2 linked regions of the Astyanax mexicanus genome follow. Each later gene encodes a partner of the first gene's protein in a complex. Links are inferred from orthologs where the notes say so. Each region holds a gene or a part of one and is shown in the gene's direction. Other genes may lie near its edges.

Region 1 (7,704 bases):
AGTTATAAACATCCTGAGGTTAGCAGCGCGCTAACTGACCTGTTTATGATGTAATCCGAGCAGTGACTCCGTGTCGGCTGTTCTAACCTGCTGCTGTTAGCTGCTTGGGCTGAAAGATGAACTGTAGTGAGCTGTATTATCCGGTTAGTGGGGTTAAAACCTTTATTTGTTTACAGAAACAGTAAAAACGGACTGGCTGAGCTCTGTAGCCCGTGGCTGGGCTGTACTGAAGTAGTGACTGAGTGAAGAGAGCGGGGCTTGTGCTGCTGCTGCTAGTGGTTGGATGAAGAACTGCAGCTTCATGTAATGAGCAGTTTCACCAGCCATCCACACACAGCTCTGATAAACTGCTTGTTTTAATAGTGCACACTGTTGCTACCAAAAAAAGTCACTAGATGGCATTACCATATATATCTTAATAAATAATAATAATAATATTTATAATAATAATAATAATAATAATAATAATAATAATAAATATATTATTTAAATTTTATGAGGCATAAAATAATAACAAGAAAATAAAACAAGAAAATCGAGAATCGAATCGAATCGTGACCCTCAAATCGAAAATGAAATCGAATCGAGGATTTAGAGAATCGTGACACCCCTACAAGATGCGTAGAAACTGTGGATTAAAACCAGGGTTATTTAACCAAATATTGGTTTTTGAACTCTATGAACTTTATGAATATGAGCTTGATTTCTTTGCATCATTTGAGGTCTGAAAGCTCTGCATCTTTTTTGTTATTTTAGCCATTTCTCATCTTATGCAAATAAATGCTCTAAATAACAATATTTTTATTTGGAATTTGGGAGAAATGTTGTCTGTAGTTTATAGAATAAAAAAACAATGTTCATTTTACTCAAACATATACCTATAAATAGCTAAATGAGAGAAACATGTTTCAGAAACTGAAGTGGACTCTCTTTCAGAGCTGTAGATCTAGTGGAATTTCTGTATTTCTTCATAAATGTGACTTAAAACATCATAACATTTCCTAAAAGTAAATGAAGATAAAAAATATATTTAAAATATTATACTTGATTTAGTGCTGGACGATATGGCCAAAATTTATATCACGATATATTCCTTAAATTTCGGTCGATACGATATAATTTCGATATCGATAAATACTTTGAAGGCCTCAGAAAAAGAATCCCTGCAATCTCTGCAGCTTGCACTGCAAATTTAAATTATTATTTAACTGTGTATTTGCACTTTTTGTATCAATCTATCCAATGGAAATCTGTACCTACTACTGTATGAAAATGTTTTAAGTCTTTGAAACCTCGTTTCACAAAAACTTTAATACTTTAGAAATAAAAGTAGTCAAAATAAATCAATGCTCAATTTTATTTGCATATAGCAAAATAATAACATGACATCCCTGCCAAACATAAGCCTATATAACTATTACAAATAAAAATAACTTTAAATGACAACAGAGGCAGAGCTTCTTATTCATTGTAAACAAATTTAACAGATTAAAACAAAAGTGTTTTAACTAGGATATATAATACAAGAAGCCTTTATATACATAAAAGCAACAAAATTTTCCCGTCAAATAAACAAACCTATAGGATTTTTCAACTATAAATAACTTAGTGACAACATAATCTATTAAAGTGCTTCAGCCAGAATACAAGAGGTATTCAACATGATATCAACGGCAAATAAACAAACCTAAAGGATTCATAAACTTTAAATAACTTAGTTTCAACATAATCTATTAAAGTGCTTCAGTCAGAATACAAGAGGTATTCAACATGATATCCACGTCAAATAAACAAACCTAAAGGATTCATAAACTTTAAATAACTTAGTTTCAACATAATCTATTAAAGTGCTTCAGTCAGTATAAGGAAAATATTGTATGTAGTGAAGATGCTTGAGGTGGTAGAACAGATTAGATGTATTAACGTTACGCTGCTTGTCGGCTCCACTCACCGGCACAATTTGCAGCAAAGCGGCAAGCGAGCGGAGCCGCGGATGAGCGAGCGGAGGCGCGGATGAGCGAGCGGACCCGCGGCTGGGCGAGCGGAGCCGCGGCTGGGCGAGCGGAGCCGCGGATGAGCGAGCGGAGGCGCGGATGAGCGAGCGGAGGCGCGGATGAGCGAGCGGACCCGCGGCTGGGCGAGCGGAGCCGCGGATGAGCGAGCGGAGGCGCGGATGAGCGAGCGGACCCGCGGCTGGGCCAGCGGAGCCGCGGATGAGCGAGCGGACGCGCGAGCGGAGCCGCGGATGAGCGAGCGGACGCGCGAATGGGCGAGCGAAACAGCGGCTGACCGAACCGAGTCTACCCTAGCCTTGGATCCGCTCGTCCCGGCTCCGTTTCGAGACATTTTAGATGCGTAGCGGAGCGGACCTGAACCTAACCTAGCCTAGCCTAGCCATTTTAACCTAGCCTAGCCTAGCCTATCTGGCTACGTGCCTGTGTGATTGCGTCATCACGCACTGAGGTAGCACAGCTATGGGGGCTGAATGTGTTTGGCTCTGCGGCGAGCTGACGCCAGTAAAAAACGCCTGTCCGTGACAGATTCTGTACATAATACATATCGATATACCACAAAAGTGATATCACCGTTATTGAAACATTTCTTATCGCGATAAATACCGATATCGAATTATTGTCCAGGCCTAACTTGATTATTTATTCATTGAGGAAAATGATTCAATATTATGTATTTATAAGTGGCAAAAATATGTAAACCTCTAGGATTAGCAGTTGGTTTGAAGGTGAAATTTAGAATCAGCTGTTTTCAATCAATGGGATGACAATCAGGTGTGAGTGGGCAGAACCTGTTTTATTTAATGAACAGGGATCCATCAAAGTATGCTTAAACCATGAATGAAATAAGTAAATTCGAAAGAAAAATGGAAGGATATCTATCCATGAACTGACTCTCAAGAGAAGGTGCGTGGGTCATGCAGCAAGTAAATAACCCTAAGCACACAAATCGTTCCACCAAAGAATGGGTAAAGAAGAAAAAAATAATTAAAATGACAAACTTTTAAGCACCACTGTATATGAAGGTAAAAGAGTGATAACAATATTATCGATTTTACAGCATAACACAATCAATGCACTAGTGGCATATATAAAGAGCCTACATCCTATTTCTTTTGGTTTGATGTTTTCTTTGATGTTTTGAATCAGAAATATTTTTACACTGTCATTTTCCAACCTCATACTTTGATATAGCAATAGCATGTAGGCTAATTTTGTTACTTTGTCGTTAAGACTGGTATATGTAAATTAACTCTGACTGGATTTGCAACCCTGTGTTGTGCCCCATAAAAAAGTAGTCCTGGCTGAAAATGTATTTTAATGTCTTAAGTGAAGTTTAATGAACTGTTGACTTTATACTAAACATTGCAATATATGTATTTCCTGTAATATATTGCAATATTAAAGTATTATTAAAGTATTTATAATGATTAAAATTATGGTCGAAAGTGTTGGCAGCCTCAAAGTTTTTCTCCCAGAAAATCATTGCAATTACACGTAATGTTATATACATGTTTATTTCTATTGTGTGCATTGGAAAAACACAAAAACACACAGAAAAGGCAAAATTTGAGAAAATTTCACGCAAAACACCCAAAATTGGATGGACAGAATTATTGCACACTTTTTGGAGAGAAATATCTGTCCCTGTAACAATGGATAAGATGCACCTGAGCCTACAGGTCAGCTTGAAGTTCTTTAGAACTTCATGGGGCTCCTTATCCAACATTTGAACTATCTGGAGTTGCAACCTTTTATCAGTTTTTCTCATCCGTTTATGTCCAAGGAGATTAGCTACAGTGCCATAGATTGTAAAGTGTTGTGCACCATGGACAAAGAAACATCAAGATATCTGGAAATGGACTTGTAACCTTGAGATACATTGAGATGCATGATATTTGTCCACAATTTTGGTTCTCAGTCGTCAGACAGTTCTCTTATCCTCTTTCTGTTCTGCAAAGATTAAATTAATTTCTCTCCTTTTTCTGTGGTTTCAGGTGTTATTTTTGTATTGCCCACACCTGTTCCTTGCTACTGGTGATTTTAAACCAGTTAAAACCTGTTAAAAATGTGCTTACATACTACCCATCAAACTCTTATATTTAAAAAATATATATATATTATTTACAATATGGCCTTCACAAAATAATAATTTACTATTTTCTTTAATAATTTGATTTTGTTTTTATGTGCTTTACCATGTTTAGAATAATGTTACACATACCATATGTTGTTGAGTAAGATTGGTATGCATATGTTGAATACTGCATCAATAGTGGACAGTTCGTATGTTGCTGATTGCTCAGATTGAAATAATTAAGAAAACTTTTATTTAAGGTCTGGGTTGTTTTTTAGGTTTACGTTCTTTCAAAGTAAACAATCAATTGTCAAACTTCCCTGGTCCTCTTTTTTTATTCTTAAATGCAATTTTTCTTAATTTTAAATAAATCAGAAATACAATTACAGACCCTATATTTTGGCTTTAAATAAACGTTCTTACCTCTATCTGAAATAATCCTAGGATCAACAGAACAAGAACAAGAACAAGCTACCTTGAGATGATTATACTTGTCCATCTTTATTGTGTCTGCAGGAAACATTGTGTGTGTGTGTGTGTGTGTGTGTGTGTGTGTGTGTGTGTGTGTGTGTGTGTGTGTGTGTGTGTGTGTGTGTGTGGGTGTGGGTGTGTGTGTGTGTGTGTGTGTGGGTGGGTGTGTGTGTGTGTGTGTGGGTGGGTGTGCGTGGGTGGGTGTGTGTGGAGATGGAGGAGAGGGCTCGCAGCTGTTTGCTGCGCTCCAAAGACACTCTGGAGCAAGATATAAAGGCCTCCTACCTCATGGACCACATGATCAGTGACGGGGTCTTGACAACAGATGAAGAGGACAGGGTACTCAGCAAGGTATAGCAAATAGACCCAGATACAGGTTAACAACCAGCCACTGGTCAAAAGTTATATGGCACATACTTAAACTTGTTTTTTATTACATTTAAACTGTGCTTTATAATATCAATATTTGTACAGTGTGCAGTTGGTAACACCATTTCTCCCATATCCCAGACTTAGGTTAAATTCCCTGTCTGAGGAAGAGCACCACAGTATAACAATACATTTTCCTAATGTCTGTAATGTGATTAAACTTTTTGCCACTGGGTAAGTTTCAAAATAATACCCCAAATTAAGCATGAATAAAAAAAATAATAGTATTAGATTTAGTATTAATAAGGTCATATATATATATATATATATATATATATATATATATATATATATATATATATATATATATATATATATATATATATATAAAATATGTATGTATGTATGTATATATATATATATATATATATATATATATATATATATATATATATATATATATATATATATATATATATATATATATATATATATACATATACACTGATTCTCTTAAGTAATCATGCATCAAACCAATTAGTGTGTCACTTCCCAATCACTTTAACAGCCAGGTGCACTCTTGTGTTCTCATTTATGAGAACAGCAATGTTATTTTATTTTGTTTTCTATTTTAATGTAAAGTTGGGTTTGTGCACTGCCTCTGGTCCATGTGTGTGTAACAAGTGGGCGTGTATGTACATTGAGCACATGAGGCATGCCTGCATTGCCAAGAGACCAGTAAACTGACTGATGACTGTTGTCAGGGTTTTAATCAGCCACTGGCGCACCTTTTTTCCATTGCCAAGATCGCAATACACCTCACTTCCAGACCACCATACCCCTTGGCTTAGATACTGTATGTCTGTGAACATCTTTGCTATTTAAACGATGCAGACTCAAAGTGTGAAAATAGACTATAGATGGGATGTAAGATAACAGTGAATATTGCGATGAGCCTTGTGAAGGGTGTAAGATATGGTTAATATGAAGTAAAAAAAGAAGGTTTAAAAGCTGTTACAGAGATGATGTAGCATGTGAGGTTCCTCTTTATGACATTGTTGCTTCACTTTTGCTCTCTTTTATTTTATAGCCCACCAGAAGAGAGCAGGCAGCAGCATTGCTGGAGGTCCTCCTGCGGAAAGACAACAGAGCCTACATCTCCTTCTACAATGCCCTGGTTAGAGAGAGCTATGGAGACCTGGCCAACCTGCTGCATAATGACCTGCCACAACTCAGCCCTGAGGGTGAAAAGAGCTTTTCCAATGGGGTCTCTTCCTTAGGTAAACATTAAACTGCCTCCTTCTTACTAAAATGATTTCACTAATGATTTTACTAATAGTCTGTAGTACGTTGTGGTGAAATTGTCGAAGGGAGAGGAAAAAGTTCTAAATTCAGTGTGCCTCGTCCACATTGACCATGAACCAACTGGGACAGCCACCAACCCATAGGACACAGAATTACATGTCATTAAGTAACCCCAGAAACTCACAGTTAACTCTTTTACACAAGGAACATGCTCTTCCACAAGCCTCAGTGGCTAAATAAGACTAATCTAACTCTAGTTAATGAGAGTAACACACCAACCGTTCTGTAAAAAAAGTATTTTTTTGTTTTTGCCTTTTTTAGGATTAGGTTATATCTGATCTCTCTCTGCTCTAATTATTTCAGTTCAGCTTATTCTGAGTGAAGGCGGAGTTCCCCAAAGGCCTATGGTTTTTGTGAACCGGCCTGCTCTGCTTAACCAGGTCCGGGAGAAGCTGTACCAACTGCAGAAAGTGGTGGGCTGGGTCACAGTGTTTGGAATGGCTGGCTCAGGGAAGTCTGTGCTGGCTGCAGAGGCAGTGAGAGACCATTCATTAATCAAAGGTACTGTTTTTTTTTCTACATAAATATTTTAGTTTTTCAATGGTTAGTTTTTGACTAATGTAGAGTAACTTGCAAATGGCATATTTCTTAAAAAGAATTTTAGCAAGGTTATTATTATTTTTTCCCATTTCAGTTCATTACAGTATGCTAAATACCCTTACATGCCAGTAGTCATAGTTCAGCAGTATGTAATTTGATCATGAAATGTTCTCTTGGTTATATTGTGAGTGAGGTTCTGAATTTCTGCCAGAATTCAGTGAGAAAATGGACTGGTAGTGGATTTGGGTTGTAGTGAAACATGGTAACGTGTACAGACTTTTGTGGAATTCTCTAATCCCCCCAAAGGTACTCTGTGTATAAGCAGTCACAAGGTACTGTGTGTATAAACAGTGTTTTTTATTAAACTGGAGTTTTCAGTGTCTCATTTTAAATGTCAGGGCCCTTGCCGTTTCGAATCCTGTTTATATAGCTTGCCATTGGCTACCAGAGCCCCAAGAGCACATAATTGGCCTTGTTCTCTCTGGGTGGGTAGATGGCGCTCTCTCCAAAGGCTGATGTCTGCAGCACAAGGCATCTGTGAGCTGATGTATCGGAACGAGTCGCTGCGCTTTTCTCCGTGCGAGCTGTGATGCTACTCAGCAATTCTGCATCATCAGCAGTTCAAAAAGAGACGGTGGATGACTTCACATGTATCGGAGGAGGCATGTGCTAGTCTTCACCCCCCTGATGTTGGGGCATTGCTAGTGATGGGGAGTCCTGATGAGTGGGTTGGGTAATTGACCGTGTAAATTGGTCATTAGGCATAACAAAATTTAGCTTCTATGAAGATCATATTTGTGCTTTATACATATTATATTTATGTGTGATCATAAGTTTTGCTGCACAGTAGATTAGTACACCATCATGGTC
Region 2 (7,685 bases), on another chromosome or scaffold:
CTTAAATAAATACTAAATGCACTATTTTGGAATTGTGCTCTCTTTGGGCTTCGGCAGCTGATGGCAAGCTGCATAACCAGGATTCGAACCAGCGATCTCCCAATCCACTAACTAGTGGTAGCCCCTTAGTTTGCTGGACCACTCAGACCCCTCCATTTTTCATGTTTATAGTATATGTTTTTTATACAGACTAAAATTTAGATCTTAGAACAGTGAACTAAAACATAAACAAAAATAGGAAAAATACAACACTAAAGACTACTTCAGTGCCTTTCAGCTGTAAAGCATCCTCTCAAGAGCTCCAGCCTGGCAGGAACCTTCATAACTTCACAACCTTCATAACGAGGATAAAATAAAACATCTTACTGAGACGTAGCCGAATCCCGAGCCAGCTCCTGGGAGGAGATTTGTGGAGACTTGGATTCATAGTCCACTTGTTGGGAACCATCTAGCGCTGCATTTACTCCAACTGAGATAGAAAACCAACGGCTGCCTGAAAAAAGTTACCAGCAAAAACTAAGTAAAATCAAAATGCACAAAGAAAGCAAACCAATCAGGGTGCAGCATTCACTGTGTGTGTTAATCTTGTTTTGATTTCTTGTTTTGTACACACAGTAGCTTCCCAGTGCAAAAGTATATGGTTCAACATCAGTGCAACAGTGGGAACTTTTGGGAATGCCTATGCATTCACAAATTATGGAATATATAGAATACAGATGGATTGTAGCACTAAAAAAATCAAAAATTTTATTTTTTTGCAGTAGTTGTTTCATCCACATCAATAGAAAACCACAGTTTACCAGTTATTATGGAAAGGCTGTTGAGGCCAGAACAAAAAAATCATAGGAAAACCTACCAGACACACAGTTTCTAAAATATATAAATATATATAGAGTTGCAGGTATGCTAGTAGATGCATATTTAAAACATTTATCATAATTCATGTTTATGTAACATTGTTACACTCTGGTTGTGGGAATGTTTGCTCATAACATTTTTAGAACATTACATTCATGTTATTGTGGTAAAGTTTGCCACTAACATCAGAGGAACTTCGAACAAGCAATATGCAAAACTTTTTTTTTTAAACCTTCCATGAAAGTTACTCTGGAAATTATTGTTATTGTAACACCAGGGAACTCTAAACAAGGTTGTGCAACGTTTTCAGAACGTTACATTTATTATATTGTGAGAATGTTCGCTCGTAGCTTGGGGAGAACTTTTAAATAACGTTAGTAAATGGTTAGGGGTATGTTCACTGTTAGCTTGATATTAACTAACATTATGAAACTTTGCGCATTAACCCCGTGCTGTTGTAGAGAGTTATGTAAAAACTGTAAATACGGTAAATACAGCATGCTGTTTAATTAATCAGTTAATTAGCTGCTGCACTGCTGCGTAAAGGCACTTCTAGGAACGTCCCATTAATGTTACTGTAGGAATAAAATGCTTAAATTGTTTTTAAACATTAGGGAAATTTGAACAAGGTCGTGCAACATTTTTAGAGCGTTCGATTAACGTTTCTGGGGAAATTTGAGCAACGTTTTTTAGAATGTTACATCAATGTTGTTGTGGGAAAGTTTGCTCCTTTTTTACACTGGGAAAAAAATTTCACAAGGTTGTACAATGTTTACAAACTTTACATTAATGTTATTGTGGGAACGTTTGCTCCTAACATCAGAGGAACTTTAAACAAAGTTGCAAAATGTTTATAGAACGTTACATTTATGTTACTGCGGGGGGAACGTTTGCCTGATGTCCTAACACCAGAGGAAATTTGAACACGTTCGTGCAAGACTTTTTTTGTGGGAATTATTATATTTTTAAAGACTTGGGGAACTTTTGTTGTGCACCGTTTTTAGAACGTTACATTAATGTTAGTGTGGAACATTTGTTCCTATATTGGGGAGAACGTTTAAATAACGTTAGCAGTACAGCAGCAGCAGAGCTTTCACTGACCTGTAGCTTGCGGTCAGTCGGTCGGTTGGTCGGTCGGTCGGTTCTCCCCGCCGCTCTCTCGGTCTCGGTCTCCTCCTCTCCGGTGTGTTGTTACTGCAGCATGGCTCCTCCGCGGGGAGAAATCCCGCTCTATCTCCTGCTGGTTTGTTTGGAGGAACATCAGAACATCAGGACCTCAGCGCTCCGCTGCAGCTCTTCCTCACTCCCAGCCCTCAGTCTGTTTCTCCTCCATTCATTCAGATCCAGCTGAAGCGGACTGAGCTCAGACTCAGGGCTCAGGGCTCTGACCGGCCTGCAGTAACCGCGCCTCACCGCTAGAGGCGCTGCAGCGGCCAAACATATAAAGTTTTTTTTTTAATGAATTAATTAACCGTAAGCAAATAAACAATATAGCACAATACACATATTGACATAATAACAATGGCACAAACAACAGACAAGTAAATATAATAATATATAATTAACCAGGTATATACTCAAATACACAAAGAAAGAGAAAGAGAGAGAGAAAAGAAAACTATAAAAATATATATTAATTAAAACTAGAGCTTCAAAGAATAATAAAACTCTTTCTGCAATCTTCCGTTTTACTCTCTTTAAATAATGTTTAAAGTGCACTTTAGTGTAGTTTTTTTTAGTTGCATTAAGGTGTACTATTTAAGTTAGCAGAAGTCATTAGATAGCAATTCAATAAGTATGAAAAGTAATGTTACATAAAAGAAAATAAAAAGCAATCATTTTTATTCTTCATAAGTTTATTATATGTGCAACTGATATGCATATTTTTTCATCTAAATTGACTTTTTTTTCAGTGTAACTTGAGACAATGCTTACTCAGCCAAGAACCTTTTTTACTAGTCATATCCAGTAAGGTAAAATACTGCTTATACTCTTGTGGTGCTCTCTACTTCCTTTTAGTTTCTTACAAAAGACCACTATTAAATGTAAGTAGCAGTACGCAGCCCTGGATCTGTGTGTGGATCTGTGAGTTCTCCACCTCAGGCCGGGGCAGCTGGCCTCCACACCTTTCCTGGATGATGTTTTGATCAAAGCCTCTTTAGTCTGAAGCCAAGTCCTGAGTGAAGCTCCTGCCAGATACAGCATGTGTACAGTATTAGTCTACTCTCTCTCTCTCTCTCTCTCTCTTTCTTTTCTTACTGCCAGTCTCTACTTTTGCATGTTGCAATTTCTTCATCACTTATCCTACATTTTCAATTCAACTTCACTACACTGACTGTACAAATATAATCTTAAATCATCTTGCAAATATACTTTTATACACAATGAGTATGATCAAATTCCATGCTTTTCTAGGCCTTTAAATATATGGTGTTCAAACTCTAAAGACCCTAATATCCTTGGATTTTTTTTATTTTTTTATTATTTATTTTTTTTACAAAATTAGTATTACTGTATTTTCATTTGAAAGGTAAACAACAAATGTTTTGTTGCACATGTTTATCACTGCATCATAACTCAGTTCAGGAAGGGTTAAAATAAGCAATGATTTTAGAGGGTAGTTTATCATACAGTTAAACAGCAGAAATAACCAGGAACTAAACTAATTCTAAATACAGAACATATTGATTAAAAAGTCAGAAAACTGTTTAAAATTGTATCAAATTTGTAGAGCATTTCTAGGTAGCTTTATATGGATTTATATGGAACTTTTTGCTGACTAAATGCAGAATACAAAACTCATTAAAATAATAATAATAATAATAATAATAATAATAATAATAATAATAATAATATGGAATATTTATAGCCTATTGCCTTTAGAATCTAAAGTAACATTTATAGTATTATTCATACATTCTTTAACGTTTTATTTTCCTCAATAATCTGATCTGTGCGCAGTAAAACGAAAAATATGTGTGAAATAGAACTACAAATAGATGTGAAAAACATGCACAAAGTCTGCGTTTAAGCGACGCATCTTTGATCGCACAAACGCACACAGATACTGATATCAGAGCTGTTTTTTGGCGAGCCTGCGCACTTTTTACCTCCCTGTTATATCAAAAATAACTGCGCACCGCTAGAGGGAGCCCGCGAGTGAGTCCAAATTGAATGCGGGTGAATGGAGCTAAACGGCTAAAATCTCAAATTAAAAACACTAGCTAACTACTTAGCCAGAATATTACTTTATCTTTAGAAATTATTATAAAGTACTTTACTAAAAATATAAAGAAAAATGACCTGTATGTTTCCATTAAATTACAGCAAACGGTTTTTTTTTGCATTAAAGACTGGTTAGCCTAACACTGGCTGGAGAGCTGATGCTGATTTAGTTTTTTTCAGTATAAAAATTAGTAAACATGTATTAATTTATATATATCATTGCCCTCATTTGTACTGGTGCAAAATTTTGTTAAAAAGTAAGAGACAGTTTGTGTGTTCAAATTATGTAGTAGTCTAAAACCATCCATTCGTCCATTCAGCCATCCATACAACCATCCATCTATCTATCCATCCATCCGTCCATCCAACCATCCATCCATCCATCTATCCATCCAACCACCCATTCATCCATCCATCCATCCATCCATCCATTCATTCATCCATCCATACAACCATCCATCCAACCATCCATTCATACAACCATCCATCCATCCAATCAACTCAGTTACTCCATATGAACCCATTCATTTTAGACTTACTCTGCAGCGCCCTCTGGTGGTCAGACACCCCCAGAACAGATTTTTAAGTGGGTATTCTCGCCTGTACAGACTCTGTGGTGTTGTTAGGCGTGACATAAACAAGGAAGGTGAGTATTTCCTCAGCTCTGTGTATTTAAAGCTGTATTTTTTTGTATTTTACCGTTTTAAAATCGATTTTTCAAGTGAAATATAATTTAGAATTTAATCAATTAAATATTTATTTTATATTTTGTGTCTGTTAGACTCAACTCTATTACGCTGGCGTTTAGCTGCGTTAAATATACAGAAACATACCAGTCAAAATATGGATACACCTTTTCATTCAGTGTTTTTATGCTTTATTTCCTGATTTAATTTACTTTCTACATTGTAGATTAATATTAAAGACTAATTGTAATGAAAACGATTAAGGGACACATATGGAAAACTGTTTGTCCTACACAAAACTCCCCTGAGAAACATATTCCCTCGTGAAGACACTGAGATTAAAATACCTAAATAAATGTGATGCTTATTTATAAAAATCTAAAATATAAAACATATTATGGTTTGTTTAACACTTTTTATTTACAGAATAATTCCACATGTTCCCGTAAAGCTTTAATATAGTCTCCAAAATTAAATTTACAATATAAAAAATAAAATAAAAAATAAAGTAATAATAATGATAATAATAATAATAAACACTAATTGAATGAGAAGAGGTGTTTTGACTGGTATCTAACTAATGTTTTATGGACTCTGTTAACAGCATGGAGCCCAGACACAGGAAGATCCTCCAGCAGAACAGAGCTCACCTGGTGAAGACCCTAGATCCTTCAGGTGTCCTCGATGGACTCTTGTCAAGAGGCATCTTCAGTCAGGACATGATAGATGAGATAAAGGTGAGATGAGGAAGAGCGTTCTAAGACAAGATAAAGAGGTCTGTGTAGTGCTAAACAGGTTCAAGATACAAAAAGAGAGCTAATATGGAGCTTTAAAGCTGACTTAAATCTGAATCTGCATTTTGTACATTTAAATTATATCTTTTTAAGGTTAAAAACTGTAATTAAATTTCAACTAGGGGTGGCCAATATAATATCACAATTTTTTTGGCGATTTATGACAAAACACTGAATTAAGGTCATGATTTAAAATCAGTTTTCTGCTGCCAAGATTATGGAGGATAAATAATGAATAAAATAATGAATAAAAATAAATAAATGAATAAAAACGTAAGTAAATCACTCGATAAAAGTAATATGGTGATTAAAACAGTAAACAATAATTATAATTAATATAAAAATAAATATCTTACATTGTTATGTATGGGTTTATTTTTTTCTTTTTATTTGTTTGTTTGTTTATTTACATAACTATTTATTTCTGCTTTAATTTATTTATTTCCCGATTTATTTATTTCCCGATTTATTTATTTCCCATTTTATTGATTTCTGTTTTTTCTTTTCCTTTTATGATAATGAAGGGGATGTCCAGCAATGATGTCATGGTGTCTTAGAGCGATCCTATTGGTTGATCGATGTCAGATACCCTAGATTGATTGTACATGTCTTGCTCTTGGCAACGTAGAAGATTATTATAAAACACGTCCCTTCATTATCATATAAGGACAAGGAAATAATAATAAATAAATAAATCAGTGAATAACAAATAAATGAATGCAGAAAAAAAATTAATGCATAAATAAATAAAATTAATTAAAAATTAAACAATGTTAATAATGAAACCTATAAATAACAAATAATTAGGATATTTATTTTTTATAGATATGTATTTATTTTTATATTAATTATAATTATTCTGTACCGTTTTAATCACCATATTACTTTTACTGAGTGATTTACTTACGTTTTTATTTACTTATTTACTTATTTTACATTTTGGCAGTTTTGGTCCTACATACAAAATAGCAACACATTACTTCCAGAGAAGTACTCACACGCACTGTTGCTATTTAAAACGAAAAATTAAGGCTGTTGGTGGGGTGTAAGATAGCAATGAGAATTGTGACTCATCTTGTGCACGGTGTAAGATAGAGTCCAAAGAGTGCTTTGTAAAAACTGTTCTATAACTGTTTCGCAGAGCTCTGGGGCCAGACGTACTCAGGCCAGGCAGCTGGTGAAGGACCTGGAGACGAGAGGCCGTCAAGCTTTCCCAGCTTTTCTGGAGTGTCTTCATGAAACCGGCCAATCCAGCCTGGCGGAGCACCTGGAGAGTGGAAATCCTCTACCTGTACCTGCTCCCCTCCCTGTGCAGCCCACTGTAATCCCTCTCCCTGTCAGTGAGTGCGATTCTTCTGTATGTTTTTACTTTACATTACATTACATTACATTACATTACATTTGGCAGGCGCTTTTGTCCAAAGCGACTTACAATAGTGAAGTACAAAAGTAATAAAAATTAAAGGTAAAACATTTTTAGATAGGGCTTAAAGGAGGTTGAAGGGAAATAATGGGGTAGAGGAGTGAAGGAGGGGAAGAAGGAAATGAGGTTAGAAGTAGTTAGTGTTAGGAGTAGGTGTTAGGAGAGTAAGTGCTCTTTGAAGAGCTCTGTCTTCAGCAGTTTATTATTAAATATAGTGAGAGATTCTCCTGATCTGGTAGTAGAAGGTAGTTAGTTAGAGGTGTTAGGAGAGTAAGTGCTCTTTGAAGAGCTCTGTCTTCAGCAGTTTATTATTAAATATAGTGAGAGATTCTCCTGATCTGGTAGTAGAAGGTAGTTAGTTAGAGGTGTTAGGAGAGTAAGTGCTCTTTGAAGAGCTCAGTCTTCAGGAGTTTATTAAAGATAGTGAGAGATTCTCCTGATCTGGTAGTAGAAGGTAGTTAGTTAGAGGTGTTAGGAGAGTAAGTGCTCTTTGAAGAGCTCTGTCTTCAGGAGTTTATTAAAGATAGTGAGAGATTCTCCTGATCTGGTAGTAGAAGGTAGTTAGTTAGAGGTGTTAGGAGAGTAAGTGCTCTTTGAAGAGCTCAGTCTTCAGGAGTTTATTAAAGATAGTGAGAGATTCTCCTGATCTGGTAGTAGAAGGTAGTTAGTTAGAGGTGTTAGGAGAGTAAGTGCTCTTTG

Evidence for each region. Proteins that work in one complex are often made in the same cells at the same time.
Region 2: the proteins of apaf1 (region 1) and casp9 are in contact, whole or in part, in a crystal structure (PDB 4RHW), measured with the Homo sapiens proteins. The link is inferred for Astyanax mexicanus from reciprocal best matches to the Homo sapiens genes APAF1 and CASP9. Residues at the interface, in NP_863651.1 of Homo sapiens: Thr22, Ser23, Tyr24, Met26, Asp27, Ile30, Ser31, Ile37, Glu40, Glu41, Arg44; in NP_001220.2 of Homo sapiens: Asp23, Trp26, Asp27, Leu30, Arg36, Pro37, His38, Glu41, Gln44, Arg45.

Annotation. Positions count from the first base shown.
Region 1 is NC_064409.1:37,145,463-37,153,166, reverse strand, and holds the start of apaf1 (apoptotic protease-activating factor 1), read left to right. Parts: upstream 1-4,611; 5' UTR 4,612-4,773; coding exon 4,774-4,911; intron 4,912-6,019; coding exon 6,020-6,209; intron 6,210-6,597; coding exon 6,598-6,795; intron 6,796-7,704. UniProt on the Homo sapiens protein: Oligomeric Apaf-1 mediates the cytochrome c-dependent autocatalytic activation of pro-caspase-9 (Apaf-3), leading to the activation of caspase-3 and apoptosis. This activation requires ATP. Isoform 6 is less effective in inducing apoptosis.
Region 2 is NC_064420.1:3,314,364-3,322,048, reverse strand, and holds the start of casp9 (caspase-9), read left to right. Parts: upstream 1-4,658; 5' UTR 4,659-4,729; intron 4,730-5,373; 5' UTR 5,374-5,374; coding exon 5,375-5,506; intron 5,507-6,704; coding exon 6,705-6,903; intron 6,904-7,685. Other genes in the region: plekhg5b (pleckstrin homology domain-containing family G member 5), read right to left, coding at 367-448. UniProt on the Homo sapiens protein: Involved in the activation cascade of caspases responsible for apoptosis execution. Binding of caspase-9 to Apaf-1 leads to activation of the protease which then cleaves and activates effector caspases caspase-3 (CASP3) or caspase-7 (CASP7).